2 linked regions of the Rhinolophus ferrumequinum genome follow. The protein of the gene in region 1 purifies or fractionates together with the protein of each later gene. This does not show direct contact. Links are inferred from orthologs where the notes say so. Each region holds a gene or a part of one and is shown in the gene's direction. Other genes may lie near its edges.

Region 1 (14,905 bases):
AAAGAAGGAAGAAAGGAGGCCAAAAGGTGCACCAATAAATGTTGCTATGGGACATATAGATCTGTCTCACCAAGTGTGATAGTTTAGTGTGTTATTTTTGTTTGTTTTTTTTTTGTTGTTTTTCCAGGACCCATCAACTTCAAATCAAGTAGTTGTTTCAATCCAGTTGTGGCGGAAGCAGCTCACAGTGGCCCAAGTGGAGATTAAACCGGCAACCTTGTTGTTAAGGGCACCATGCTCTAACCAACTGAGCTATCCGGCCGGCCGATAGTTTAGTTTTTAACTTGACAATCGAATCATAACTTGTTTAATTAATCTATTGCCTAAGCTATTCTTATTAAATAGTCTTAACTATTATATTTTATACTTACATTGCCTGATTTTAAAAAAATATAAGTATCTTTAGTATTCAACTTATTTCATATTTGTTACATAACACATACAGCTTTCTCATTAATTGGCAGTGCTTCACAATAAATATACCATGTGTTATGGGTTGATTTATGTATCTCCAAAATATGTGGAAGTCCTAACCCCCAGTACCTCAGAATGTGACCTTATTTCGAAATACCGTGTTTCCCCGAATATAAGACCTAGCCGGACCATGAGCTCTAATGCGTCTTTTGGAGCAAAAAAAAATTAATATAAGACCCAGTCTGATATTATATTATATTACACCCGGTCTTATATTATATTAGAATAATACCAGGTCTTATATTAATTTTTGCTCCAAAAGACACATTAGAGCTCATGGTCTGGCTAAGGTCTCATTTTGGGGGAAATACAGTAGGGTCTTTACAGAGGTAATCAAGTTAAAATGAAGTCATTATCGTAGACCCTAATCCAGTATGAGTGGTATCCTTATAGAAAGGGGAAATTCGGATACAGAGAGAAACCCACAGAGGGAGACCATGTGGAGATACAGGGAGAAAATGGACATGTGACGAGTGACGTATCTACAAGCCAAGGAACACCAAGGATTGCCAGCAAACACCAGAAGCTTCTAGAAGCAAGGAAGGATTCTTTTCTAGAGCCATAACAGTATGACCCTACTGACACCTTGATTTCAGACTTCTGGTTTCTAGAACTGTGAAATAATAAATTTCTGGTTTTAAGCCACCGAAATTTTGGTACTTTGTTATGGGATCCTTAGAAAACTAATACACTGTACTAACTTTCCTGGAGGACTCAACTTCAAAAATGTCAGTGAAATGCAAATAAAAACAACAGTGAGAACATTACTTTATGTGTAAAAGACTGGCAAAAATTAGAAAGGTGGGTTGTACAGTCAGGTTAAGAAACTACTATATGAATACACCACAACGGAAAACAGAAACAGTATCGTATCAAAGCTGAAAGAAAAGATAACTTCACGTAGGGAATAATTAACAGTATCAAATGCTGCAGAGATATAAAAATAAGATGTAAAAGGTATCCAATTCAATTAGCAACTAAGAAATATCATTAGTGACCTTTGGAGAAGTTCAGAGGAAAAGTGGGGGTAAAAGACTGTAGTTTGAGAAATGAATAGGAAGTGAGACACTGAATATATGGAAGGTAGATGACTTTTTCCAGAAAAACACATAATCATCCACTTGACAACCTTGATAACAAGCTGTAGTTTTAAAAAACAGGGAATGTAATGGATTAAAAATACGTTCATAAAGCCTTTGACAGGCTTCCCTTCAAGGGGCGGAGCTTAATTTCCCCTGCTCTTGAGTGCCAGCTGGACAAAATGACTTGTTTCTAACAACAACAACAAAAATATGGAGGAAGTTATGGTGATAGCCTCTCACAAAAGGCATGACAGCTTCTTCCTCTTTCTCTCTTTCTTGGAAAACTCACTCTGCAGAAGACAGTTGTCTGATCATAAGGACCCTCAAGCTGCCCTATGGAGAGAAACTGAGGCCCTTGCCAGAAACCATGTGAGTAAGCTGTTTTGAAAATGGAGACTCCAGCCCCAAGCAAAGCCTTCAGATCCTTGTAACTCCAGCTTACATCTTGACCAGCGCCCCGTAAGAGACCCTGAGCCAGAACCACATAGCTAACCCACTCCTGAATTCCCAGCCCACAAACACTATGAGACAATAAAAATGTATTGTTTTAAGCTGCTAAATTTGAGGGTAATTTGTTACTTAGCAATAGATAACTAATACAGAGAATATACAGATAGTAAACAATTTAAATCCTCACATGGCTAATACTGGTACTTATTTCAGATAGATTTGAAGACATATAAAAGATTTCCCAGAAATCTCCCTTGTCTTTTATCCAAATTTGTCTAAATATCCATTCATATATGCTTCGTTTGCACTTATTTAGAAGAAAATCATATCATTTAATTTTAAGTGATGAGCAATTTTATTTTTTTATTATGTGGGTATTTAGATGTATACATTTTATGCTGGATTTATAAATTAATGATCACAAAAAACAATATCACTGTCTTCTAAAATTAGGAACACCCACATTTCATTAGTTTACAGTGTTATGTCTGGCTTTAGCATTTGTCATTTAAATTTGGGAAAACATTTGAAAGAAAGTAATCAATTTTTATTGGTTTCATTAGAACATTTTCTTTGTCAACTTTGGGAATGGAATTTATACTTTGTTGGTTTTCTTCCTTTCTCTATAAATTACCTTTATAATTTTCTTTGTTTACCTTTTCTCTACTCAGAAATCTCTACTTTTTCTTTAGATATACAAAATATGTTTAAAAAACCATTTCAAACTATAGCTTTTTAAAATTAGATCATCGATGCACAGAATTAGACTAATCGTACTCTTTGGTTGATGGCCCACTATCAACACTACCCTTTCCCCACCCTTTTTAAATTAATTTAAATCAGTTTTAATACTCCATCTCCACCCCCAGTTTCTTCCCTGCCCAGATCCCACACCCAAAGATTCTGTTTGAACTAGTTTGGGGTGCGACATGAGTCTCACTAGTTTTAAGAATCTGTCCAGGTGATTCTAATAAGTAACCAAGTTGAGAACCCGTGTGTAGGGGATCCTTGCTATACAAACGTGATCCTAAGACCAGAAGCGTCTGCTTCACCTAGGAGTATGTTAAATGTGCTGAATTTCCGTTCCCATCTCAGATCCACTCCATCAGAATCTGCTTTTTAAACAAATTCCCCAGGTGATTATAAGCATGTTCAAGTTTGAGAGACACTGATACGAGCATGGGCTAGATTCAAATCCTGACTCTACCATTTATTAGCTATGTAAACTTGAATAAGTACTCAACCTCCTTGTACCTCAAATCCCTCATTGGTAAACTGAGAATAATAGTACCTACAATCCACAGGGTTGTTGTGAGGATTTCATACAATATTGTACTAAAATGTTTAGAAAAGGGCTTGACTCATAGTAAGTGCACAACAAATGTTAAGTATTATTAATTACCTTTCCTTGGCTTAACTTTTAAACATTTGGTGAGAGTTGTTAAAATATATATAATATTTTTTAAACTTTCAGAGAACAGAATTTTAAGGCCCACTCTCTTAGTAGTTGTTATTATAAAATGAATTATTCACTTTGTGGTTCTAATCACATAAAACATAATTTCGAAACTGAGCGTGATGTGTAGAACCCAGCTGCAAAAATTTAAAATCAGCTACATGCAGCTGCACTCTGGTTCCCCTAATTCATCTAATAGCTTTTAGTAGGTTTTATAAGTGACATTAGAAAAGGCACAGCAGATGTGCAAGACGGCTCCTGAAATCTAAAGTGGGACAGATGGTTCTCTGATTGATGGACAGCATGAGGAGCACTGCAGCAAGGGTCACCTACTGTGGAGGATACCCCCCACCTTCCACCCCCCAACCATTCTGCCTGCAAACGAAACTGTTATCCAAGAAAGAAAAGCAGGGATGGCTATTCAGAAAGTCTTTGTTTTCAAATATTCATTGTAGTGAAAAGATTCTCCGCAAAAGAGTCACCTAGATGTGGAAAAAATGTCTCCTGCTCTCGCCTTCGACAAAGAACTGACTTTTTGCACAGTTACAACAAAGTAGGCAGATTTCATGTTTGGACACAATACTCAGGATACTGGAGCTAGAGCTGAGATTTAAGAAAGAACAAAGAAATAATGTAATTGGATTTATCAGCCACTGAACAGCATTGATTAGTACCAGACTATTTCATTATTAGAAGCCCTATATTGCCTTTAAAAATAAACTTGTTTTAAATTTTAATTGGAAAGCTGGACAACTACCGTGTTTCCCTGAAAATAAGACTAGGTCTTATATTAATTTTTGCTCCAAAAGATGCAGTAGGGCTTATGTACAGGGGATGTCATCCTGAAAAATCATGCTAGGGTTTATTTTTGGGGAAACACGGTTTTTGCAATTGTTAATCAGGAATTTACAGTGTAGGCTACATCTCTGCTTACCCCTCTCTCTCACTTTTTTTTCAAATTCCTTTCTAGTACTTCAGATCTTCAAGAAAAAAATTTTTTAAACCTCACATTTATTGCATGTCAACTAATGGCAAGACCCTATGTTAGATGCTTTCTTATAACTTTTTGTGATTTAGGATCTCAGAGATACTAATCGACTCAGTGTTTTTAGGTTCATATTAATACGAATGGGCCCGTCATTTTATTGATGTTTCTCTTCTCTTTTTCTGTAAAAGGGAAATCAAGCACAAATTATGCACCAGGAAAGTATGTCCAAGCATAAGTTCAGAAGTGGACACATGAACTACAGAAGACCAGACATGTCCAGTTCCCATGAAGACTGAGATTTGGTGTTGCTCCCCAGGGCAACTCTCTAAAGCTGAACCACTAGGAGCCCCTGTACTGTCTCCTTGTATCTCCACCTCACCAGCTGCACCTTGGCAGGCCTGCCATGTTCCCTGAGCAACTAGAACATAAATATCTCCAGCAACCCCAAGGGCTCCTTGCCCAGAATAAGCAGCAATGTGCCCTTGTGCTCAATTTTCTTACATTTAGGTGGTGAACAGTTGAATGTTGTCCATTGCTCTCATCACCTGCGGAGTACAGAGCCATGCCATTAGGCTTTATTTCCATCATAGCTAGCTCTCCTCAGAGGACCTCAAAGAAGGTTGTTCAAGCTACGGACAATTGGCTGGGGAGCTCTTCACACAGCTCATCCCAAAGGCTGAATGGATCAATGCTTGTGGTACATTCACGGAATATCAGCTGGGAAATGTACCTTATGCTATTAATTATCCCTTCTCACTCCCATATTTTCAACTCTCTTTTTACTGGTTCTTCCCCTTTAACAATTACAGTCAAGTCTCTATGGAATTAAAAAAACAAAAACAAAACTAACCTTCATCCATTCTTTATTTTCCCCTCAGCTACCATTCTATGTCTTCCTTTCACCAAACAGCTAAGCTTTTGGAAAGAGTAGTCTGCATCTTTCTCCATGTTATCCCCAATCACTCTTCTCATCCCATTATAATGTAGATGTTAATGAAACGACTTTTGCCAAAGTTATAAATAACCTTATTGCTATATTTAATGGCTAGTTCTCAGTCCTTATCAGCATTTGATATGACTGAACATTCCTTCCTTCTTAGGACATTCTCTTCCCTTGGCTTCTATGACGTTACATTTTGAGGAATGAGTATGTGTTGAATACCAAGACTAAGATACAACCTCTACCCTCAGGAAGCATAAATGGAAATATGCTGAATAATAATTGTGATTAGCAGTTCCAGAGTTCATCGGAAAAACCAAATTTTTCTTGACACTGAAATCAAGGAATTTATTACACGGGTTTCATTTATATGAATTAATGAATACCCTAAATAATTCCTTTATAAATAATTTTTTAAAAGTTTTGTCTAACAAGTGGGCATTTCTTATGGTGATGTTTCGTTAGATCTTAGTTCCGTGAATTGAAGTGAGTTGATTTAATTTAATCTAGGTAGATTTTTTTTTTTCTGGTTATCTCACAGTTCAAGGGGGGAAGGGGAAAGGAGGAGGGGGAAGGGAGGTAGAAGAAGGGGGCAAAAAAACATTTAAAGCACTGAGAGTCTTCATTGGCTAATAAATCCAGTAGCCTCTATCAAATGTGAATCAACTTCCAGTTTGGATCTTACCAATTTATGAATTATTTGTTGCATTGCTCAAATTACCAATGGACTCAATACCTCTAAATGCCAGAATGCCAGCACAGAAAATGGCAATTTACCTTGAATGTTTAGAATCTTACTTGTTCCGACACAAACAGCACCATACCCTGTCATCAGTAGAAGTCCAATTTATGAATTGACTTGAATGCTGAGAAATATGTGAGCAACGGAAAATATACTCATCAATAGCTACCATTTGTTAGGCCTGGCTCACCGAATATAAAAAATATGATAAAACAGGATTCTGGAATCTTACAATCTAGTCAGAAAAGATTTTGCTTTAAGCATAAAGTTCACTCATTATATCTTTTAATTTTCTTATTTTTGTTTTTTCCCTTATAAAAATGTACTCAGCAAATTCATTTACGAAATGTTTATTGATTTCATACTATGTACCAATCATTTTGATGCCAGACAGGCTCCTTCTTTCCTGCATCTTTTATTTTAGTGAGTGGAGACAGAGAGACAGTCAAACAAATAATTGTTTTAGATCATAAGAGCTATGAAAATAAATGAGGTAACATGGGAGTGTATTTTAATTGGGTGATCAGGGAGTGGCCTCTTTGATGAGGTGTCTCAGGTGACATCAGCTGCAACCTGAGACAAGTTCATGTAAACAGTGTTCTCAAAGAAGTTAACAGCAATTGCAAAGGCCCTGAGCCCAGAACCAGCTCGACATGTCCCAGGAATGAAATGAATATTAATGACTAACATTAATTATCTTAGAGTGTAAGATATATTTGGGAGTGTAAAGATTTATAAGCCAAGGTCTGTGTCCTAAAGCTCTGTAACAGAGACAGACATAAGCAAGAGGATCAACACAGCACAGAGCAACATTGTAGTAATAGAAGTATGTACAAAGCAAAGAGGTGCTAACTAAGAAGGAGGACTGATTAATTTTCTGGGGTGTGTGTCATGTGGGAGACCCTGCTCACTGCGCCATGTGTTGTGCAGGGTGTCAGGTGGGGTCTCTGCTCCTGCTCCCCACATAAGAACGCAGGACATGGTGAGGCCAAAAAGGAACACCCACGGAGCCATAGGTAGGAGAGTCACACCACTATACTCTCGCTGGCGGCTGGGTTGAGAAACAGGAAACGGGAGCAACACAATTCTCAACCCTCACTGCGCCGCTTGCAGGCTCAGCCACCATCTTCTTGCTCGCCCCCATTTCCTGCTAGCGTAGCCATGGCAGTTATATTAGTGCCCAATGGCTCACTGGTTACAGCTGACGGCCAACTAGCCACAGCTGATGGCCATCCGATCACAGTTGATGGCCATTTACTACCTGAGCCAGCACCTTTCTATGTGAGGCCGAGAGCCTGGAAACTGCTTTTTGGGGCTCTGTCCCCACTGTGTTTCAGGGAAGGCTTCACAAGGGAGGTAATGTAAAAGCAGGATTTTTGAATATCAATAGTTGACAAGGCAAGGAGGAGGCTGGGAGCTGGGAGACTGGAGACAATATACAGGCTGTTTCTTATTGGTGAACATGACAGTAGAAGAAAGCGAGGCTCAAGAGGACACAGGCCAAGCCAGGAAGGGCCTTATGTACTGTGCATGATGGGAACAATTAAAAGGCTTTCAGGAAGGAACTACAGGACTGGATTTGTGTTTTACATGGATCACTATAGGCTGTCTCTCTTAAATAGATCTGTGGGAGAATAAATGTGGGGCAGCTCCAGAGGCAGCAAAAATGAAAGGAGGATAGAGGCAGAGGGTCTCAGAAAGACGAGAGGTTTTTAGTTGATGAAACAAAGGGGTAGGGATGATTGTTCACTGTCAAATCACCAATTAACTTTCAGTACCTGGCTCATAGGAGGCAATCAGTATGTGCAAAATGAATAAGTGAACGAATGGTGTTTAGGTGTGGGACAGCATGATATCTGATGCACAGAAGTCACAAGCCCCGCATTCAAATATAAACTCTTCCAAGAGAGAACAGTTGAGTGCTTAAGCCTCTTTTTCGGTGTGTTGCTTTAATCCTAACCACCTATGAGGTAGGTGTTCCTTCCATTTTTCAGATGAGAAAAACCTGAGGCTCAGAGAGGTAACCCAGCATGCCTGATGTTCTAGAAGTAGTCAGAGGCTAGACTCAAAACCGGTCTGGCACGCAGCCAGGTGCGCTGGCTTGGTAATTACTACTTTCTACTACTTAGCCCGGAGGCTCGAGGAACGGAATGAATTATGTAAAGCCTGCAGAGACATCTAAGAAAAATCGGTAATTCTCAACAAAGAGATGCAAGGGGGCGGGGTTCCAGAACTTTCCGGCCAGGCGGTCACTAGAAGACCAGAGCGGTGCGTCACAACAGCCTTTAGCCAAGCTTCCCCCCGTTTTCCGGGGCGGGGGAGAGGGGCGGGGCGGGCTCCCCGTCCGCGGAGGCCAGCGCAGCCGCAGTGCAGCTCGTGAGCGCCGCGGCTGGGGGCGCAGGCCGGAGGGTCACGCACTGGGAGGTGCAGAGAGACGCAGGCGCAGCGAGACGCAGGCGCAGCCGGCCGTTCCGAGACTACTCGCTTTACGACACCGCCGAGGGAGCTGACGTTTTTCCGTCCGTAGGTCGCTAGTGCTTCCGGGTTGCGGTCATTTTGTGCCCGTATCGGGGTGATTTCTGGACTGCGGAGTCGCTGTCCGCGCCTCACCGCTACCTCTGGTGTGGTGCTACTCGCCTCCCGATTTCCCCGCGCTTTCCCCCCTTCCTGACTCCTCTTAGGTTCCCTCCGGGCCTTCTGCCCCTGATCGCCCGGGTTCGCCGCGCCATCGCCTGTCGCTGTCGTCCGAGGTGGGTGAGCTGAGGCCGAGAGCCCGGTTCCGCCCCCCCACCTACCCACTCACCGCCTCAGCGCTTCCAGTTGCTACCTTGCACCTTCCGCCATTTTCCTGCCTGCGAGGCTGGACCGATCGCGCTTTGGGTCTCGGGCTCCTGCGTTTCGGTGACCTGGGGAAGAGAGGGAGTGTTTCTGGGGTGTGTGGATGGGACACATTCTTGGTGACGGTTGCGTTTGGGGGAGTTGCAGCTGGATATGCAGATATAGTAGATGGGGGATGGAGTGCGGGAATCGACGATGGCGGGACGACGTGGGTTCAATTCAGTTTTTTTCTTTGGGATTTAAGAGATGAAAATGATACTGTCCAAAGGGGCCGTGTCGGCCTTGATAGTCTCTTTTTAGGGTTTCTATGTAGGATGCTGTTTGGGAAATAAGAGGGTTTCATTTTTTTTACGGCTGTCTTGGGATTTAAGTAGTTCAGTTAAGCGTACTCCATCATCCATGAATTCATCTCACCCTTTTGTTCCTTTTCCTTAGCTAAGGAATTGGCATGTCTTAGGCCCTCAATGATGGCTTAATAAGTACGTAAATTATGGAAGGGCCCAAATTGCTACCCTCTTCATGTAGGCCATTAACCGTTTATATGTAAATTGTTTGGGAAGAATCATGATTCTATGGGAACATTCTGTAAAATACACAATAATCTGTTGGTCTCTTAAGTCATGAGCCATGGGTTAAAAACAATAATAAAGGTGTATGTTCTTGAAATGCTGTGCGTTTTTTGCGTGTCCTGTTTCTCTAAGTGTTCATTTGGGGAGGGAGGAAAGTTTGGAGGATACATAATTTGCTATTAGCTTTATACCACTGGGAAAAGGACATGACGTCTTTGTTATTCCATTTTTGGAGAGAGTTGTTTTGTGGGAGAGGTGTGTTTCCTGATGATGATGATTTTTTTTTTAATGGAATGACTTTGAGATTTTTTCCCTCCTTTATTTGGGGGAATTAACCTAATCATTGAGCATATATTTTTGAAAGGATCCAAACATAGGATAATGTGAAATAAAGCAGTGATAGGAGGAAAACTATGTCTTGTTTTATTGATGTCCTTTTAATAACGATAGAATCAGTTGATAAATACTATACTTATAAAGCATCTTTTTTTTTTTTTCTGTTAAGGAACCTAAGATGACTAGTCATTTCCAAATTAGTTAATAGGTCTGTGACTTTTTTATTTAGGTAACTTTATTACATATGTCAAGTATTTCAGACATAGTGTTTAGTAAATACTAGTTGATTGATTGCCATGTTGACTAGTAATTTTGCTGTACTATATCCTGACTTCGACCTATTTCATAATTATTTCTGATACTAAATATACATGTTTTTGATGCAGGAAAGATGAATGGGAGGGCTGATTTTCGAGAGCGGAATGCAGAAGATGTTCCAAGACCAATTCCTCGTAACTATCAATTACGTATTTATAATTAGAAGCACGATCTCTGTAGAGAAATTTTTACTGCCATGAGGAACAGTATAGTAGCTGGGCTGGCTGGCTTCTTGGGTATATGACCTGTGCAGTCACACAGGGACCCACACTTTGTTAATGATCTGTTGCCATCTTGAAATTCTTAATAATTTGAACAAGGGGTCCCAAATATTCATTTTGCACTGGACATAGCACATTATGTAGTCAGTTCTAACTAGCAGATAGTAACATTAACTTCTGTTTGAAGTCAAAGTTTGTTAAAGGATTTCAAGCCAGTTGTTTCATTAGTTCATTAAAAAAATGGGTATGTTTTGTTAATGTATAAAATAAGATAATTTTTTAGACTTAGTTGTTCCATAGGTGTTTTAATGTTTGTCGATTTTCCTTGGTAAAAAGACATAGGGGCTGATTACATTCCAACAGAGGAAGAAAGAAGGGTCTTCGCAGAATGCAATGATGAAAGCTTCTGGTTCAGATGTAAGTTACATTTTCTAATCAACAAAATTTGACCTTTAATACCTGATATTTTAATGACTTCGTATAGAAAAATTGGCACACTTTTGGCATAGTGTGTTTATTACTAAAAGAGGTTGATTAAGGAAATAGAATTGTACACATTTTAAAGTAATAAATTTCTAGAACTTTCTCAAGACAAGTATTTTTGTTGGTAATAGTGATAGCATTTACTGAGTGTACATGGATTATATATTTTAAAAAGCTTAATAAGGTTGATAACTATTACTTTCACTTTACAGATGAAGAAATTGAGTTTAGAGATGTGAAACGAGTTATCTAATGTTACACAGCTGTTAAGTCATGATGTCTTGAAGCCAGGTCTGACACAGAAGCTCATGGTTTTAACTCTTAACTTTTAATCATTACATGATAAAAACTGATTACTTCCCACTAATCATACTGAAATGCTATTACATTACCAGCTTTTGATTTCTGACTAGAGACTTTATACATGAAGATTTTATTGTTTTAAATACAGAAACTATTGAAAGAAACATAAAACGTTATCTTACTTTTGAACAGAACCCTTGGTGTTCCTTCACTTGGTCATTGCAGTCCTTTCAGATAAGGTAATTCTAACAAAAAAGCAGGATGGAATTTTTAAAGGATGGGGTGACTTAGGTAATTAAAGAGGATGGACATTTTCATCAGTCAGCCTGGTATTTATGCTTTCAACATATAATTATAAGGAGACAGACTAATAATCACGCATTAGAAAATTTTTTACTTTCCATTTGTTTCTTCAAATAAGGATATTCTACGTATTTGTGATGTTTACATGTATTTAATAAGAATAATGGAATCCATATTTCTATGGAGAGTTTTGTGTTTATTGATTTACAAAGATTGTGATGAAAGTAGGAATGTGTGGAAAAAGTACTTACTAAGGTAATTTTTACACGTTTTTAAGTTTGTTAAATGCTATCTTCATCTTGGTTTAAAATTAGACTTGTTGATCTAGGGTCCATTTTTTTCCTTAAGGTGACTTTATTTCTACTGGGATCTCCTTTCTGTTAATTTTAAAGCATAATTCTGAAGGCATCTTATTTGCAGTTACTTATAATTGTGACCCTATGCACTGACAACACCATTTGTAGCTGTGCCAAACATACAGTTAATGAAAGAATGTACACAAGAGGGGTTAGTTTAGTGCGTATTATACGTTACAGTTCTCAACCTCTGGAATTACTGAAAAGGTGTATGAATTCATAGTTGTTTCATGCATCATTTATAGATCTTTGTGAATGATATTTTATACATGTGTACTCCTGGTTTTCAAGTGAGTAAGTGTAATGAGAGATAAGAGCACAGGCCTGACTATCTGGATTCAAATCCCACCTCCACACGTATTGTGAAATTTCAGGCAAGATCCTGATGTCTGTGTTTGCCTTGGTTTCCTTATCTGTAAAATGGGGATAATAATTAACCCATCTGATTTAATTGTTATGGGGATTAATTCAATTTATTATATAAATGTTAAGCTATCTTTTATTAAATGGTCGTTGGTGCTATTGTGATTAATGAAATAACAATTTCAATTGAAAACAATTGTAATTTAGAATAGCACTGTGCTATTGTAAGTGAAGAAGAGTTAAAAGATTTTTAGGGGTCCTTGTATTGGATATGGTTGGGACCATGGTCATAATACAAAACAGCTTTTGGACAGCAGTGTCAGCAGTTTGCCTAAGACATTATTTAACAGTCTCTGAAATGGTACTCCTGGTATAGTGGAAAAGGCCACTGACATGAGAGTCAAGAGACTTGGGTTTTGATCTAAGCTCTTCCACGAACTAACCATGGCTATTGCTTTGAGCAAATGACTTGTCCTTTCTGGATATCAATTTACTCTGATTAGGATGAAGACTAGACACTAAGCTCTGAAGTCCCTTTCAATTTTACCATTCCCTTTTCCTGTGGGGGAATACATGAGTTGGAAAGAGACCTTACTTCTAATCTATTAATCTTTATAGCATGAAAAGAAGAGATTTATGAGAAGACATAGTGATAAATATCATAACTATTAGGTTGGTGCAAAAGTAATTGCTGTTTTTGCAATTATTTTTAACCTTTTAAACCTCAATTACCATGTTTCCCCGAAAATAAGACCTAGCCGGACAATCAGCTCTAATATATCTTTTGGAGCAAAAATTAATATAAGACCCGGTCTTATAAGACCCGGTCTTGTATGATATAATATAAGACCGGGTATAATATAACATAATTAATATAATATAATGTACCAGGTCTTATATAAAACCGAGTCTAATAGTAATTTTTGCTCCAAAAGACGCATTAGAGCTGATTGTCCGGCTAGGTCTTATTTTTGGGGAAACATGGTACTTTTGCACCAACCTAATAGTACTACAGTCTCCGTAAACAGACTGTTACTCTTTGCATTGTACCGTCTTCGTCTAAGAAGAAAGTGAAATAGGGAAAGCATTATCCATTGGAGAGATGGCCAACTAACTCATAGCTAACTCATCATTTCATCCGTGTATGTTTCTTCATGTTGCAATCCTTGAACCAAGTTGAAGGAGAAAAATGGTTGCAAATTGTACTGATGCTGTAATCAAAAGGGAATTGTCCTTTGAAAAACCTTAGATAATAATACATGAAGCCACTCTAACCAACCAACAATACAGAAACTATTTTTCCTGATAGGTAATATTTGTTAGTAAGTAGTAGAGTGAGGATTCAAACCTTAGGGTTTCTGCAAATTGTTTCTGATGGCAAAACTAATGCCCTATTTCAAAGTTACAGATTTTAATCATGAACTCTAATGATGTCTTAATTACCTTCGTTCTTAAATTGCCCATATGTAGTCTAGACCAGAGTTGAGCAAACTACAGCCTAAGGGCTAAATTTGGTTTTCACATTTTCAAATGGTTTTAAATGGAAACAAAAGAATATATTTTGTTATATGTTAAAATTACTGATAAACAGTTCCCTATGCTGATTGATATAAAACTTTCCCTGAGTGATAAGTGGCTCACTGTGCCTAAGCTGCCTAAATTTTTAATTTTGCAGCCATAAAAAAGATTTTATTGGAACGCAGCTATGTTCATTTCTTTATGTATTGTCTCATTGCTTTTGCTTTAAAATGGCATTTGAATAGTTGGAACACAGACTGTTTGACCCATGAAAACTTGAAATATTTACCTTCTTGCTCTTTCCAGACCATTTCCCAACCTCTGGTCTGGAACTGCACTATCCAATGTGGCAGCCACATGTAACTGTTTAAATTTAAAACAATTTACAGCGGAAAGGATACCAAGCAAAATGAGTAAAGCAAAAAGGAATATGGGGTGAAGTCCAGAGGACACTGGGCAAAAGCTTCCAAGAGTCATCTTCCAGGGGAGGGAGGGAGGAAGAGACACACGATGTGCTAAATGTCTCTAGCTGCTAGTTAGTTGTAATAACACCTTTGAGGTGTTACCTAGGAAGGGATCTCATTAGAGACTCGGTACCTGAAATTTTTACTGGGGGCTGGTTATATACCTATCCTCAGCCTAGCAGGTCCCAAAATTCCAGAATCAGAAGGAAAGCAGGTGTTCAGCATAAAATATTTGTACAAGCCATTTAGGAACAGTGAGCCACTTATTCGGATAAAGTTTTGTATCGGTTTTGGGAACTGTTTACTAGTCAAGTTTCCAGACATCAGCCAATAACTTGCAAGCAGGTCTTCTTGAATTGTATTAATATTTTGTAATGTTTTCTTAAATTTAAAATGCTGCTTTTGTATTTCTACTGACTAGACTACAGCTTTTAAAAATGGAAAAATCTCTTTTAAAGATCTTAATTGTGCGACCTACTTCCTGGATGGTTTTACTGGTATATATTTTTCTGTCCTAATGAACTCAGACAAAATCTTTTGTTGATGTTGACAAGTTCTTTTTTCTCCTATAGCTGTGCCTTTGGCTGCAACGAGTATGTTGATCACTCAAGGATTAATTAGTAAAGGTAAATACTTAAAATTTGAATTTATGTAGCATTTTGGATGTTATATTTTTATGTTCTTTTCCTGAGTTTTAGATA
Region 2 (14,806 bases), on another chromosome or scaffold:
GCATGAGAGACAAAATCTTTAAGAGGGTCCATGGAGCAGGCAGAAGTTTTTTAAAATCATCTTTCCTGACCTCATCTCTCACATGTACTCTGTCCAAAAATCGGTAAGTCTGAGAAGGCCCCCTCCAGTTCTTATCCCCCCACCTTTCTCAATTGCCCCTCCCAGTTCACTCAAGGAGGCTCCAGGAGCCCCCGCACTTGGCTGCACGGGCCCCACTCCCAACTGCTCATCTCTGCAAACAAGGTTTCCTAGGGCTTAGAAAAGAGGAGAGGGCCTGATAGTGAGCTCCACCTCATGCTGGCAGTAAGTCCTATTGGACACAGACTGGAACCCATCTCACTTGCTCGTTTGATGATTATCCCGGAAGAAACATGATCAGAGTCCTGTGGTCACAGGCAATAAAAAGAAATGTAACTTACATACATTTACGTTTTGGAGAAGTACGAGTGAGGAGTAACAAAAGACTACCCACGTGAAGAGAGATGGCACACAGAGACTTCTCTGAGGGGCAGCAGACGAAAAGTGGAGGCAGGAATAAAAGGGCCCACTTCCAAAGTGAGCCTGAGCAAACAAACTGCCTGGCGCAGAGTTTAAGATGGACATAGGTATCAATTTAGCAGGTGATTTCGATGCTATTGGCCTCGTGTAAAAAGTGATATCACAATTTTTGTTTGAAGTCAGTATTTACAATATACCTGAATTACACCCTTCACAACTATTTACATATCTGTTGAAATATTGTATTAATAGATGTAAACTTCAAAATGGATGTGTGTGTGTGTGTGTGTGTGTGTGTGTGTGTGTGTTGGGTAGTGATGGATAAAGAGTTTTTCAAAATCCTTTCAGGAGACCCTTTACAAAAAACTTAACTCAGGGCCCGCTGGTGGCTCAGGCGGTCGGAGCTCCATGCTCCTAACTCCCAAGGCTGCCGGTTCGATTCCCACATGGGCCAGTGGGCTCTCAACCACAAGGTTGCCGGTTCAATTCCTCGAGTCCTGCAAGGGATGGTGGGCAGCGCCCCCTGCAACTAAGATTGAACATGGCACCTTGAGCTGAGCTGCCGCTGAGCTCCCGGATGGCTCAGTTGGTTGGAGTGCGTCCTCTCAACCGCAAGGTCGCCGGTTGGACTCCCACAAGGGATGGTGAGCTGCGCCCCCTGCAACTAGCAATGGCAACTGGACCTGGAGCTGAGCTGCACCCTCTGCAACTAAGACTGAAAGGACAACAACTTGAAGCTGAATAGCACCCTCCACAACTAAGATTGAAAGGACAACAACTTGACTTGGAAAAAAGTCCTGGAAGTACACACTGTTCCCCAATAAAGTCCTGTTCCCCTTCCCAATAAAATCTATATAAAAAAAATTAACTCAAAGTGGATCATAGACCTAAATGTAAAATGCCAAACTGCTAGAAGAAAACACAAGAGAAAATCTGTCTTACCTTGGCTTGGTGATGAGTCTTTAGATACAATATGGAAAGTGTGCTTCACGAAAGAAAAAAATGACAAATTGGACTTTGTCAAAATTTTAAATGTTTGCTCTTCAAACAATACTGTTAAGAGAAAGAAAAGACAAGCCACGGGAGAGGGGGAAACCTTTGCATTTCCTGATAAATATGTAAAAAATGACTGGTATCCAAAATATATGAATACATGGAACTCTTAAAACCCAGGGGGTTAACCCAAGTAAAAAATGGGCAAAAGATCTGAGCAGACATGTCACCGAAGAAGAAATACAGAGAGAAAATAAGCATATGAAAAGATGCTTCGCAGCAAATGAATGAGGGAATTGCAAATGAAAACACCGAGATACCACCACACACCTATCAGGCTGGCCAAAACCTGGAACACCGATAACACCAAATGCTGGTGAGGATGTGGAGCAACAGGAACTCTCATCCATGGTTGGTGGGAATGCAGACTGGGGCAGCCACTCAGGAAGAGAGTTTGGTGGTTTCTTACAAAACTAAACACTCTCTTACCATAAGATCTGGCGATCCCACTCCTGGGTATTTACCCAAAGGGGCTGAAAACTTATATCCACAAAAAACCTGCAGCTTTACTGGATGTTTACCACAGCTTTATTCATAATCAGCAAACAGTGGAAGGAACCAAGATGCCGTTCAGTAGGTGAATGGATAAATTGTGGTCCATCCAGATAACGGAATACTATACGATGATAAAGAGGAAAGAGCTATGAAGCCGTGGAAAGAAATGAGTGAGTCTTAAATATATATTGCTTTGCTAAGTGAAAGAAACCAGTCTGAAAAGACTGCATACTGTACAATTCCATTTATATGACATTCCAGAAAAAGCAAAACTATAGAGACAGTGACAGATCAGTGGTCGCCAGGGGTTTGAAAGAGGGGGTTAGTGTTTGACCAAGGGAAGCCTGGGGGTGTTTAGGGCCATGAAACTACTCTGTGTGATGCTGTAATGGTGGATATGTGGCATTCTGCATGTGTCAAAACCCAGAGAACTAGATGGCAGAAAGAGTGAATTTTAACACATGCAAAATTAAAAATAATATTTCAGGAGATTGGGGCACCCCAGGAAGGAATGAGGACTGTGACCAAAGAATCTACGTGTATTACAAATGTACAAAAGCACCTCCCTGAAGGGGGTCCGGGGAAAGGGGCTGATCTAGTCACTTTGGAAATGAGTGGGGTCTGTAAGACCAAAGGCAAAAGGAATGGCATGTGGGCACTGAGCTCTAGTTGACAACATTATTCCCCACAAGGGGAAGGGGTGACAATTCTGAACCCGCTCTACATGTGCACTGGAATTAGACAGTTAAGTAAATGGAGGGCAGAGGGTGGGAGCCAGATTTTTCAGTGTTGATGTGGGGAGAGACAGACAAGCAAGGGGAGGTACTAGAATGATCTATGTGGTGATGGATCAGAGCTGGAGACATCAGTATGAACTTATGTTTACCTTAATATAGATACAGGTGCATATAGATATATGCATCTCTATGTATGTATAAGAAATACATATATAGGCCGGCCCGGTGGCTCAGGCGGTTAGAGATCCATGCTCCTAACTCTGAAGGCTGCCGGTTCAACTCCCACAAGGGATGGTGGGCTGCGCCCCCTGCAACTAGGAACGGCAACTGGACCTGGAGCTGAGCTGCGCCTTCCACAACTAAGATTGAAAGGACAACAACTTGACTTGGAAAAAAGTCCTGGAAGTACACACTGTTCCACAATAAAGTCCTGTTCCCCTTCCCTAATAAAATCTTAAAAAAAAAAGGAAATACATATATATATGAATGTCTGTAGATATGGGTATATACATAGCTTAGTATATACATAAATTTTCTTGCTGCCAGCTGAGAGAGCCTACAACGAATCACACCTCAGTAACAATGAGTACATTAGATCTTGGTTTCTAATACCTTTGTCCAATAAAGGGCTCTTTGGAGAAATGGCTGATTCTAGGGCTGGGGCAGGAAACAAACAAGATGAGTCTGAAGCTCCTTGTAGTGCCAGAAAGCAAGGAAATGTCCTCTCCTCTCCTCTCTTCTCCTCTCTTCTTCTTCTTCTTCTTCTTCTTCTTCTTCTTCTTCTTCTTCTTCTTCTTCTTCTTCTTCTTCTTCTTCTTCTCTCTCTCTCTCTCTCTCTCTCTCTCTCTCTCTCTCTCTCTCTCTCTCACACACACACACACACACACACACACACAGTGATGGGGTACGACAGAGACGCACAAGCCAACTGAAAGAGCTCCCAATGGCCAAGCTGGAACAATTTGAGCAACAAAATAAATAGAGTAGTATTGGATCATAACCAAAAGTATAAAATAAATATCCAGTTATAAATAGGTGATTAAATAATAAATAAATGGGGGAGAAGAGACAAGCTCTGTGCAGAAAATTCCAAATAATTTATATAGGTACTCACCCAACCCCCAAGGGCAAGCGTTACCCCCGTCCTCAACTGTGGGCTGCAAATGGTGACTTTGGTCCAAAGAGGACAGGCTGCAAAGGGGGCGAATTACATTGAAAGTGGAGACACCTGATGAGCAAACTTGAAGTCAGCCAGTTGAGCAAGATTGACATGGGCAGTGGCAGTCGTGCTGAGTGCATGGCACCTTGCTAGGATGTCGTGGGAGGGCGCTTCACCTCCGTGGTCCTCCTTTCCATAGCCATCACCCCAGCTACTCGGGACAGAAACAGCCGGCAAACCCCCAAGGAGCAGTCCCCCATCCGAGAGGACAGTCACAGCCAAGAGGAATCTAAGGAGACGTGACTCGTCATTACTGTCTCCTTAGATTCCTAGCAAGACGAATGCAGTGTGGGATCCACAAAAGGACGTGAGGGTCCAGCGAAGGCACTCTGCACAAGTCAGCGGACTTGAGTTCACCACAATGTACAATAGTGGCTGATCATTGTCACAAATGTACCAGGCCAATGCATATTGTCAGGTGTGGGTGCGTCGGAACTCTCCCGACTGGCCCTGCAATCTGTACATCTAAAACGATTCAGAAATTTTGTTACAAGTTTATTTCAAATAAAAACAAATGTGACAATCCTTTCTGGGTCTGTGTGGATAAGCACAGCAAGGGGTGCTGTGCAGGGGTCGGGGGGCAGGTTGCCCCTCCTCACCCCCAGCCCGGGGTGGGGGCCTGGCGCCATCCTCCCTTCCCCAGCTGTTCGAAGCACAAAGCCCTTCAAGGTGGACTCCAGCCTTCCCTTTGTTCCCAGCTAATTCTAATTCCAGAGCTCCTTGTACCCACAGTCTCCAGCAGAGGAGCCACACCCGCCTCCAGCTGCTGAGGTCCTCTCGGATTAACTGGTTGCCCCAAGGCGGGGCGCCCTCCCATCCAGCCCACTGTGCCACCCGGTGGGGTCTGCAGCCCTAGTCGTTGTGAGCAGTGGGTCCGATTCCCAAGCGTCCCTGGACAATGGGAGGCCCCCTTCCAGCGCTCCCTCCCTCCCCACCTCCTCCTGGCTCCTTCTCCAAAACCCCCCACTGCTTAACTGGCCTCTGAAAGGCTGCCCACTTTGGCTGCTGCCTGGGGAACACTTTGCTTCTCACCCAGGAGCTGCAGTAGGGCCACCCCCAACCCCTCCCGCATGTGCTCCGGAACCAGCCTTGAAGGTCTGTGGTTACAAGGACCTGGCAGGACAGGTGGAGGCTTAGATGTGGCTGCCAGGGACAGCTTCCTGGCCCTCTCAGCTGGGGTCCTGGGGCGTCCTCCCCAGCAGCTGCTGTCCCCAGGGAGGGGTGCAAGATACACCTTCGCAAAGCCCTGAGAACCCAGGGCTGGAAATCCCTCAGCCGTTGTTTCCCTTGAGTGCCCAGCACCCCTGATGAGCTGCCCCTGGAATATTGTAGCTGTCCCTATCAGCTGAACCGCTTCCCCAGGCTGCGAGGGTCAGCATTCCAGCCTCCAGCTCCCACTTCGGGAAACTCCGTCTTAAGCATCCAGCCAGAGGCAAGGATGGATTCATGAACTTTGACCACCTCACAAGCCCAGCTGCCCTGGCTGGGTAAGGGAGGGGGTGCAGGTTCGGGTTCGGGTTCGAGGGCTCCCTTGCCTCTCTCTTTAGCCTCCTGGGACAGGTGGCAGCTGACCTGAATCCTACAGGATCAGAGGGAGGTCAGCAAAGAAGAGGCACCCCAGGCAGTGGGCCTCAGCATGGGCCAAAGGCAGGGAGAGCAGGGAGGGCATGGACGGCTGCCCCTCAGTGCTGGGGAGCCCGTGGGCCAGCTGGTGCCCAATCTCGTAGCCTTGGAGAGGAATTGAGCTTGATCCCTAGTGTGGAGAAAAGCCCAAAGAAGAGCAGGTGGGGAGGCACTGGTCTGATCGGTGCTGCTGAGAGAAGCATGCAATGCCTGGGCCTCGAGGAAGAGGCCACTGTGGGGTCCAGGAGAAGGGGGGTGGGGGGAGACTGGGAGAGGAGGAGGGGGAGGGGAGATGTGGCCCTGTCTGGGGGCCTGCTGCACCTCCCAGATGTGTAAGCCCTGGCTCCAACATGGGAGACACCCTTTGAAGGCAGCAACCTAGAGCAGTGGGAGCCTGGGCCCCAGGAATCCCAGAGCTCACACAGGCCATTGGCAGCAGCCACCTTCAGCCTGGCCACCTCCCTCGCAGGCCACTTTCCCCATGTGCCATCAGTTCACCCACGTCCTTCTCCAGCTATTGCTTTCTGTCCCCACCACACTCCTTGGCCAAGCCTGATCTTCAGTTCTTGAAAGAGTCCCCTGCATCCAGACACGTCCTCACTTCCCCTTGCCTCTCCCTGCACTGTCTGGCCTCTGCCCACGTCTCCCCATCAGAAGCAGCCCTCACCCAGGGGGCCTGCTGCTCCAGGCCATCTATGGGCACTTGTCTGTCTCCAGACCAGCTTTAGTCCTAGGCTGGGCCAGAGAAGACTCAAGTTAGGGTCTTCTGATGAGCAGTGCCACCTCAAGGGTCCCCAAGCCCCCTGTGTCCCCCCACATGCCTCTTGAGGCTCCTCCAGCCAGCATGGGTGGAGATGCTGCCCCTCCCTCACCTAGCAGGCTCAATCTGGCTCTGACCGGAACTGCTTTTCTTCCTAAAGCCGCTGGATGGCTGAGGGTTTAGCTTAACGGGATGAGCCATCTGGGGACCGCAGCACAGTCATCAGGGAGCCTGGGACTTGGGGTGGGGGGGAGTGGACACTTCACATATTCAGTCAGGACAATGATCCCTTCCTTCCCCACCCCATGGCTGTTCTTGGCCTTGGAAAATTACAAACAGGCTGCTCAGCTGCCAGTGGAAAGGCAGCTGAACAACCTTGCTCTTGCTGGGGAGGCCTGGAGGTCCCTAGGGAGAAGAGTGCCAGGAGTGGGGAGCTAGGACCTCCCAGCTGAGGCCTTTGGGGAAGGGTCTGTGCACCCAGTAGGCACCAGGGGGCAGCCTTACCCAATTCCTGTCTGTGTCTTCATAGGGTCTGGCAGGGGTGGGGGCAGCGGGGTTCCCTATGACACCCACCTTGGTGAAATTGTGTAGACTTGTGCCTCAGCTAGGCGGGCTCCCCTCTGCCCCTTGGAAGACTCATAGAGATCAGTCACCCCAAGAGCTGGGACCTTGACTTCCACCTTCCAGGGCTGCACCCCTTGGGGAAGGCTGAATGCCCAGAGGAAGCACGGTGGTAGCTGTGGCAAAACCTAACAGCACACCTGCAGGCAGACATTCCCACCCCCAGCCTTCCCTTGCTGGCCAGCTGGGCCCGGCCCTTCAGGAGGCCAAAGCACCCTGCACCCCCTCTGGTGCTCAACACTGGCCCAGCCCCCAGCCGGGAGTCAGAGAGGGGCCAGAGATGGTACAGGCTGGAAGGAGGGGGAGAAGGAGAGAGGGGGCCAAGGATGGCTGGAAGGCAGCGAGGGAAGCGGCTGTCCTACAAGCGGGAAGGGCAGGTTACGAGGGGCGATCTGGGCCGGCACTAGGCCCAGATTAACCTGGGGTCTGGGGCGGTTTGGCCCCTGGGGAGGAGATGCTGGCGGGCGCCCCAGGTAGCAGCCATCCTGCTTCCCGCAGGAGCGGCGTCTCGTCCTCGGGAGGAGGGCGGGAGGAGGTAGGCGGAGTGATGGGGAGGGCGGGAGGGAGGGAAAGACGGAGGAGGGGGAGGGGGAGCGGCCCAGTCGTGGGGGTGGGGCGACGGTGACATCACCGCGGAGTCGGTTCTTAAGCGGCAGCCGGTCAGGCCGGGGAGGAGAGGGACGATCGGAGCGCGGTGGCGAGTCGCTGAGCCCGCCGCGGCCCAGAGAGCGGCTGGAGCCGCCGCCGCCGGGAAGGAGGGGCGAGAGCGCCCGGGCCGCAGCCGCCGCCGCCGGAGCCGGAGTCGCCGCCGCCGGAGCCGCGGGCGAGCCAGGCAGTCGCGCGAGTCCGGGCCGGGGCGGGGGGCGCGGGCCATAAGCCCCTGCTCCGGCCGCTGCTTGCAGACAGTGGGCGCCCAATGTCTCCCGCGTCCCGCTAGGCTGAGCCTCGGGCCGGGCGAGCCGCCGCTACCGCCGCCGCCCGAGCCGCGGGCAGGAGCCTCGGGAGCCGCCGCCGCCCGGCCGGGCCCCGCCGCCGCCCGCGCGCCCCCGGGCCCCCGACACACATGAGATTCTTCAGGCTCACTTTCAAGTGCTTCGTGGACTGCTTCTGACCGCGCCGCCCGTCCGCCCCGCACCCCGCCCGCCGCCCGCCCGCCCGCCGCCCCGAACCCGGCCCGGCCGCCACCGGCCCCCGGCCGGCCCGCGCCTTCGGGGCCACCGAGCCGCCGGCGCTCCCCGCCGCCCGCACCCCGGCCCGGCCCGGCCGCGCCGCCAGCCGGGGCCATGGCGAAGAAGAGCGCCGAGAACGGCATCTACAGCGTGTCCGGGGACGACAAGAAGGGCCCCCTGATCGCGCCCGGGCCCGACGGGGCCCCGGCCAAGGGCGATGGCCCCGCGGGCCTGGGGGCGCCCGGCGGCCGCCTGGCCGTGCCGCCGCGCGAGACCTGGACGCGCCAGATGGACTTCATCATGTCGTGCGTGGGCTTCGCCGTGGGCCTGGGCAACGTGTGGCGCTTCCCCTACCTGTGCTACAAGAACGGCGGAGGTGAGCGCCCCCGCTCCTACGCGCCGTGGACCCTCCCCTGCCCGCCGCGGGCCCCACTGCGCGCCCCACAGGGGCGTACGGGCGAAGTCCAGAGGGTGGGGAAAGCCCCCAGGGTGGTCGGGGCCAGGGCCACCCCTCGCCGGCAGTGGCTGCTCGGTTGCCCAGCCTGGCGGCGTCCACCCCCTGGCTGGTCATGTGCCTGGCAGTGTGTGGGGGGAGGGAGCCAGGGAGCCTCCGGCCCAAGCCGCGGGGCTGCCCCCCCAGACTCCCGGAGCTCCGGGATTGGCCACTGAGGTGGGAAGGCGAGGCCTGCCCCCTGGGGGGGCTCCCAGAGGTGAAGAGCCCTGGCTGCCCCCGCCAGTCAGACACACAAGTGGCACATTGTGTGGGCCCCCCACGTGTGCACACACGAACACACACACACACAATGGGCCACTCTGTCCCTCCCCCTCCCCTCCCTTCCCCTCCCTTCCCTTCCCCAGCTCCTCTCTCTTCCCTTCCCCTCTCTCCCCTGCCCTCCCTTCCCCACCCTCCCCTCTAGCCCGGGCCTGGAACACTGGGTGCCTGAGCCAGGCTTGGGAAGCCTGAGGCCTGGGCCGCCCGGCGCTGCCGCTGGACACACTGCATACACACCCCATGCCCACTTGACTGCCCCAACCCAGCTTAGCAACAGCGATGGGCACGCGGGTCCTGTGACTGGAAAGCAGCACCAGGGTTGGTGGAAAGCCATGATGACTGGGTGATAGGTGGGAAACTGAGGCCCAGGGTGAAAGCGTTTGCCCAAGGTCATACACAAGAAGGATGCTGGGTCCAAGAGCCAGGCAAGCTGCTGAGAAGCCCAGCTTCTGAGCAGTGGAGACAGTTGAGCCAGGGGCAAGGGGAGAGGACCTGTGGAGGAGGGGGGAGTACACAGGGGTCTACTGGGGCCCAGCTCCCCCCACCCCAGGCCTGTGGTCTCTGGCCCTGCCCTGCATGCTGCCTCCAGAGCCGGGTGACCTCCCCTACAATGTCTGTCATCGCTCACTGACACCTTCAGACACCACCCCCCCAAGTCCACTGGCAGAGGACTGCCACCCACCCACCCTCTTCCCTGGACCTTCGCACTTGTAGGAGAGCGTGTAGGTGCAGGGAAGGCAGGGGCTCCCTACCCTCTCCCAAGCCAGGTAGGCCTCTGGGCCTGAGCGCCAGCCATAGCTCACACACACACATGCACACACATGCCCTCGCCGCCTTTCCTTCCTGTGCTGCCTGGCAAATGTGGAACTGCGACATGAGGGATGGCTTGTGTGTGCAAGCACGTGTACCCTCCATGCCCGTTAGGTCACCCTAGATGATTGTGGAGGCAGAAGCCTTGTGAGCATAGGAACCACCGCCCCCCCCCAGCCCAGGGAAATGGGCCACAGCACCCCTTCAATACTCCACCCCCCAGGGCTGTTCACCTGGGGCCCTCTGAGTCAGTGGCCACCCGCTGCACTGATTCACTCAGTGGGAAGTTATGATGGAGCTTGGGTGGAGCCTGGAGCCGAGGTTCCACCCCAGCCTTCCAAGGCTTCTGAAAGCTGGGCTGGGCCTGCACAGCCTGGCTGGGGGTTTGGGTCAAGTCCTCGGCCTGTGTCTCCTCCCTCAGGTGTGTTCCTTATTCCCTACGTCCTGATCGCCCTGATCGGAGGAATCCCCATTTTCTTCTTGGAGATCTCGCTGGGCCAGTTCATGAAGGCCGGCAGCATCAACGTCTGGAACATCTGCCCTCTGTTCAAAGGTGAGCAGCCTTGGGCCAGTCCCTCTCACTCTCTCCCTCAGGGTCCCCTCCCCTTTCCAACGGCTAGGGCAAGGCTGACACCCACCTGAGAAATCTCGGCCCACTGATGGACGCCCCCAGTCATGAAGGGGAAGCTGTCGATCATGGCGGGAGACCGCCCATGACCTTGGGCGGGCTGGGGCTAGAGTAGGGGATTGGATCCCTTCACCAGGGTGAGGACACCCAGGCCCAGCAGGGCTAGGGACAGACCCTGTAAACCACACTTGGCTCCCTGGGGCTGAGTGGAGAGTGGCTGGGTGCGAGAGACGATGGCTGGAGAAGCTGCCCCAGACGAGCTTTCCCAAGGCTAGAGGGCCAAGTTTATATGGGAGCCTTTGAAAGTTCAGATCTAAAGGGAAGAGCTAATAATGGCAGAGATCACCTTAGAGCCTCTTCTGTGTGGGGGCAGTGTTCCCCTATCATCTCTCAAGGCCTTGGGAGGAAGGTTTTAGTGTCCCTGAGAGGCTGGAACACAGAGAGATAAAATGATTGGCTGAGGTTGCCCGCTTAGAATGTGACTGACTCCCACAGTGCCCCAGCTCACCAGAAAGTCCCCCAAGCTGCCGAGTACCGGAGGCTACAGGGGACCAGATGGAGGCTTGGCCCTCCTTCAACTGCTGTGGTGGCAGTGAGACCCAAGAGAAGGGGACAGGTGTGTGAGACTAGGGAGTCGATGGGACTTAACGCTCAGATGGGGGCAGGGTGGAAGGGGCTCTGCCTCGGGCCTCAGGAGGCTGCAGGAGGCGAAGCCATGAGCAGGGGCTGATGTTTGGCCAGGGACATATTGGGGAGTTAGCCCAGTATTGGGACACTTGCCCAAGGGAAAGTCCAGGGGCTTGGTCAGGAGCGTGACAGAGAAGGACCTAGTGTGATGGATGGATGGTGAGGAGGGGGAGGACGGCAGATGCAGGGAGCAGGCCAGAAAAGACTCTCCACCGAAACTGCCCTGTTCCTAGGCCTGGGTTACGCCTCCATGGTGATCGTCTTCTATTGCAACACCTACTACATCATGGTGCTGGCCTGGGGCTTCTACTACCTGGTGAAGTCCTTCACCACCACGCTGCCCTGGGCCACGTGCGGCCATACCTGGAACACTCCTGACTGCGTGGAGATATTCCACCATGAAGACTGTGCCAATGCCAGCCTGGCCAACCTCACATGTGACCAGCTTGCTGACCGCCGGTCCCCCGTCATCGAGTTCTGGGAGTGAGTCAGGCGCTTCTGGGCCAGGCCGGGCCTGCCCCTCTCTCTGGGCTCCAGAGGTGGCCCGAGTCTTCATGGGGGGATTCGCAGCAGGAGTCAGTCCTGGGCCCTGCCTGCCCTAGGGAGAGACCCCTCAGCCTAGTCCTGGTGGGAGCCGGGAAGTATGGGCCTTGCTCCATCAGCACCATTTCTCACTCTGGGCACCGTCACTCTGTGGTGCCAGCCAGCCTGGGGGAGGGGGATGGCTGCCAGCCCCACCGCCTCTGCCCAGGGACTCCTGGGCGCCAGGCACATACTCTGTGATGCCTCCAGGCGGCAGGCTTGGGCCGGGGCCCAGCCCAGGTGCTGAGGAGGGACCAGCTGGACACAAGGGCTGCAGGAGGGAGAGCACCACCCCTGGAACAGCTCCTAGTCGCTTTGCTCTCTGCTGGCACAGCCCTCATGGGCTCTTCCTCCCCTAGGAGGAAAGTCTTACGGCTCTCCCGGGGGCTGGAGGTGCCAGGGGCCCTCAACTGGGAGGTGACCCTATGTCTGCTGGCCTGCTGGGTGCTGGTCTACTTCTGTGTCTGGAAGGGGGTCAAGTCAACAGGAAAGGTACAGCTGGAGGCGGTGGGGGGGTGTCTGCCGGGAACCATTGTTGCACCGGGTGGTGACCGGACCAGGGTCTGTGCCCGAGGAGGGGGCGGGTACTTTAATCCAGGCCACTTGATCCCCACCCCATGGCTGCACAGTCCTCCCAGCCTCCAAATCCAGGCCCAACAATCTTCCCTCCCCAGGGTGAGGGACCCAGGCAGCAGCTGCTCTTTCCCTGTGTCAGGGGTCCCCGTCCCCACCCTCCATCCCCATTCCTTCCTATGCCTCACTCACTATCTGAGTGTGTTTGGACGGTCTGGGTGGACCTCTCCTATGGCCCTCTCTGTCCCCCGACTGGCCCAGGTGGGAGTAGACACATGCCTTCCCCAGAAGCTGCCTGTCAGGTTCGGGAGACGAATGTGTAAACAGATGCATAATAGGACAGTTTGCCGAGGGCCGTGCGCCGTGGCCAGGTCCCAGGAAGGCTGGCACATTCCCAGCAGGGTCCACAGAGTAGCTGCTTCCAGAGCCGGCGGCCCCATTGGGCGGGAGGCAGAGGCCTTTGCTGTCCGTGTCACTCTTGTCTCTGTCTCTGGCTGGTCCACTTCTAATCCCAGCTACCAATGACCCCACCTCTCTGCATAGGATAATCTCGAGTCGGACACAGGAGGTGTAGGGCCTGCCCCCAGGCTGATGTCCCACTCCTGGCCCCGGGACGGCCCTGCCTCTGCCCTCCCTCTCAGGTTACATGTGCTTCCCATGGGGTGCTGGTGCCCCAGAGGAGCACCTGGCTTCCTTTGGGAGGAGCCATGGCTCTGAGGAGTATGAGGGGGCTCTTCCCCCTGGCCTCCCTCCTGACCTCTGACCTCACTGTCCAGTGGGGGGGACGTGGCCTGCCGTTCTCAGGCTGCCCATGCTGGGGGCTTCTAAGGAGAGGTGGGTGCTGTAGGGCGCCTCTGAGCACCCTCGCCCTCCAGATCGTGTACTTCACTGCTACGTTCCCCTATGTGGTCCTCGTTGTGCTGCTCGTGCGTGGAGTGCTGCTGCCTGGCGCCCTGGATGGCATCGTCTACTATCTCAAGCCTGACTGGTCCAAGCTGGGGTCACCTCAGGTGAGGTGGAGGCGGTGGGGTGTATACGGGGAACCAGCCCAACAGGACACTTCACACGTACTCTTCCCTGGCCCATGTCCAGGTATGGATAGATGCCGGCACCCAGATTTTCTTCTCTTATGCCATTGGCCTGGGCGCCCTCACGGCCCTGGGCAGCTACAATCGCTTCAACAACAACTGCTACAAGTAAGCACCCCTTCCCTGCCCTACCCTGCCCACCCGTGGGCAGCAAGCAGGCATCCTAACCAGCCCCCATGGTCTCCTGTGTCCCCAGGGATGCCATCATCCTCGCGCTCATCAACAGCGGGACCAGCTTCTTCGCTGGCTTTGTGGTCTTCTCCATCCTGGGCTTCATGGCTGCAGAGCAGGGCGTGCACATCTCCAAGGTGGCAGAGTCAGGTAAAGACCCCTGGGCCCCAGCCTGGCCTCTGGAGCAGCAGCTGCTGTCCTCACGTACCACGTATAAAAACGCACATGCAAATAGACATTCTGAGAAATGAGAGAAGAATTCAAACTCAACTTGTCACATCGCTCTGGGCCAGAGGCAGGCCTGGATAGCAGCTGCAAGGAAGGCACAGCTGTTTCAGCCAGCCCAGGGCTGAAGCCCTCGTGGGCCAGGCCACGTGGAGCCTGAAGCCCCTGGCCATTCTTCCCCAGAGGCCTCGGGATATGTTCTCACATTTGCCAGAGTGTTGCAGAGGGAAAGGAAGGCCTTCCCAGGGTCTATAGTGACCAGAACTCCAAAGCACACACCCCGCTCTAATGGGTGGAGGTCTGCCGAGGGCCTACAGGATTCTTCCAGCCCCTGGTATGGGACACCCACAGGGGCTTGAGTGGCCCAGCGGTGCCTTGACACGAGAGGAAAGGCCCTTGGCCACGGGGTGTCCTGGCGTCCTCCACTATTCTGGTAGCACAGGGCAGGGGTGGGAGGACAGCACATGAGCACAGACCACAGGTGTCCACATGCTGTGCCTTCCCCCTCAGGGCCTGGCCTGGCCTTCATCGCCTACCCCCGGGCCGTCACGCTGATGCCCGTGGCACCGCTTTGGGCTGCCCTGTTCTTCTTCATGCTGCTGCTGCTAGGTCTCGACAGCCAGGTTTGCAGGGGAGGATAGGACAGAGGGGCTGGGCGGGGGTAGGGGCCGGGGTGGGGTGGGCAAGGGGCGCGGCCTGAGCGCCTGGCCACAGTTTGTAGGTGTGGAAGGCTTCATCACAGGCCTGCTCGACCTCCTGCCGGCCTCCTACTACTTCCGTTTCCAAAGGGAGATCTCCGTGGCCCTCTGCTGTGCTCTCTGCTTTGTCATCGACCTCTCCATGGTGACTGATGTGAGTGGGGGCAGGGTAGGGGCTGCCTCAGGCCCCCCGCTGCCATCCGCCACCTGCCCTGACCTGGCTCTGTCCCCAGGGCGGGATGTACGTCTTCCAGCTGTTTGACTACTACTCAGCCAGTGGCACAACCCTACTCTGGCAGGCCTTCTGGGAGTGTGTGGTGGTGGCCTGGGTGTACGGTAGGTCTGGGCTGAGGGGCAAGGGGGGCCGCGGCATGGGGCAGGGGTGGTGCGTCTCCAG

The links.
Region 2: the proteins of OCIAD1 (region 1) and SLC6A8 purify together in Homo sapiens (co-immunoprecipitation; 3 studies listed by BioGRID and IntAct, with this or other methods). This does not show direct contact. The link is inferred for Rhinolophus ferrumequinum from reciprocal best matches to the Homo sapiens genes OCIAD1 and SLC6A8.

The regions. Positions count from the first base shown.
Region 1 is NC_046288.1:7,731,706-7,746,610, reverse strand, and holds the start of OCIAD1 (OCIA domain-containing protein 1), read left to right. Parts: upstream 1-8,663; 5' UTR 8,664-8,882; intron 8,883-8,899; exon of another isoform or gene 8,900-9,065; intron 9,066-10,261; 5' UTR 10,262-10,266; coding exon 10,267-10,327; intron 10,328-10,750; coding exon 10,751-10,831; intron 10,832-14,776; coding exon 14,777-14,830; intron 14,831-14,905. UniProt on the Homo sapiens protein: Maintains stem cell potency. Increases STAT3 phosphorylation and controls ERK phosphorylation. May act as a scaffold, increasing STAT3 recruitment onto endosomes. Involved in integrin-mediated cancer cell adhesion and colony formation in ovarian cancer.
Region 2 is NC_046284.1:6,728,020-6,742,825, reverse strand, and holds the start of SLC6A8 (sodium- and chloride-dependent creatine transporter 1), read left to right. Parts: upstream 1-7,676; 5' UTR 7,677-8,289; coding exon 8,290-8,551; intron 8,552-10,178; coding exon 10,179-10,310; intron 10,311-11,305; coding exon 11,306-11,555; intron 11,556-12,013; coding exon 12,014-12,146; intron 12,147-13,102; coding exon 13,103-13,237; intron 13,238-13,319; coding exon 13,320-13,423; intron 13,424-13,511; coding exon 13,512-13,636; intron 13,637-14,221; coding exon 14,222-14,334; intron 14,335-14,425; coding exon 14,426-14,563; intron 14,564-14,642; coding exon 14,643-14,745; intron 14,746-14,806. UniProt on the Homo sapiens protein: Creatine:sodium symporter which mediates the uptake of creatine. Plays an important role in supplying creatine to the brain via the blood-brain barrier.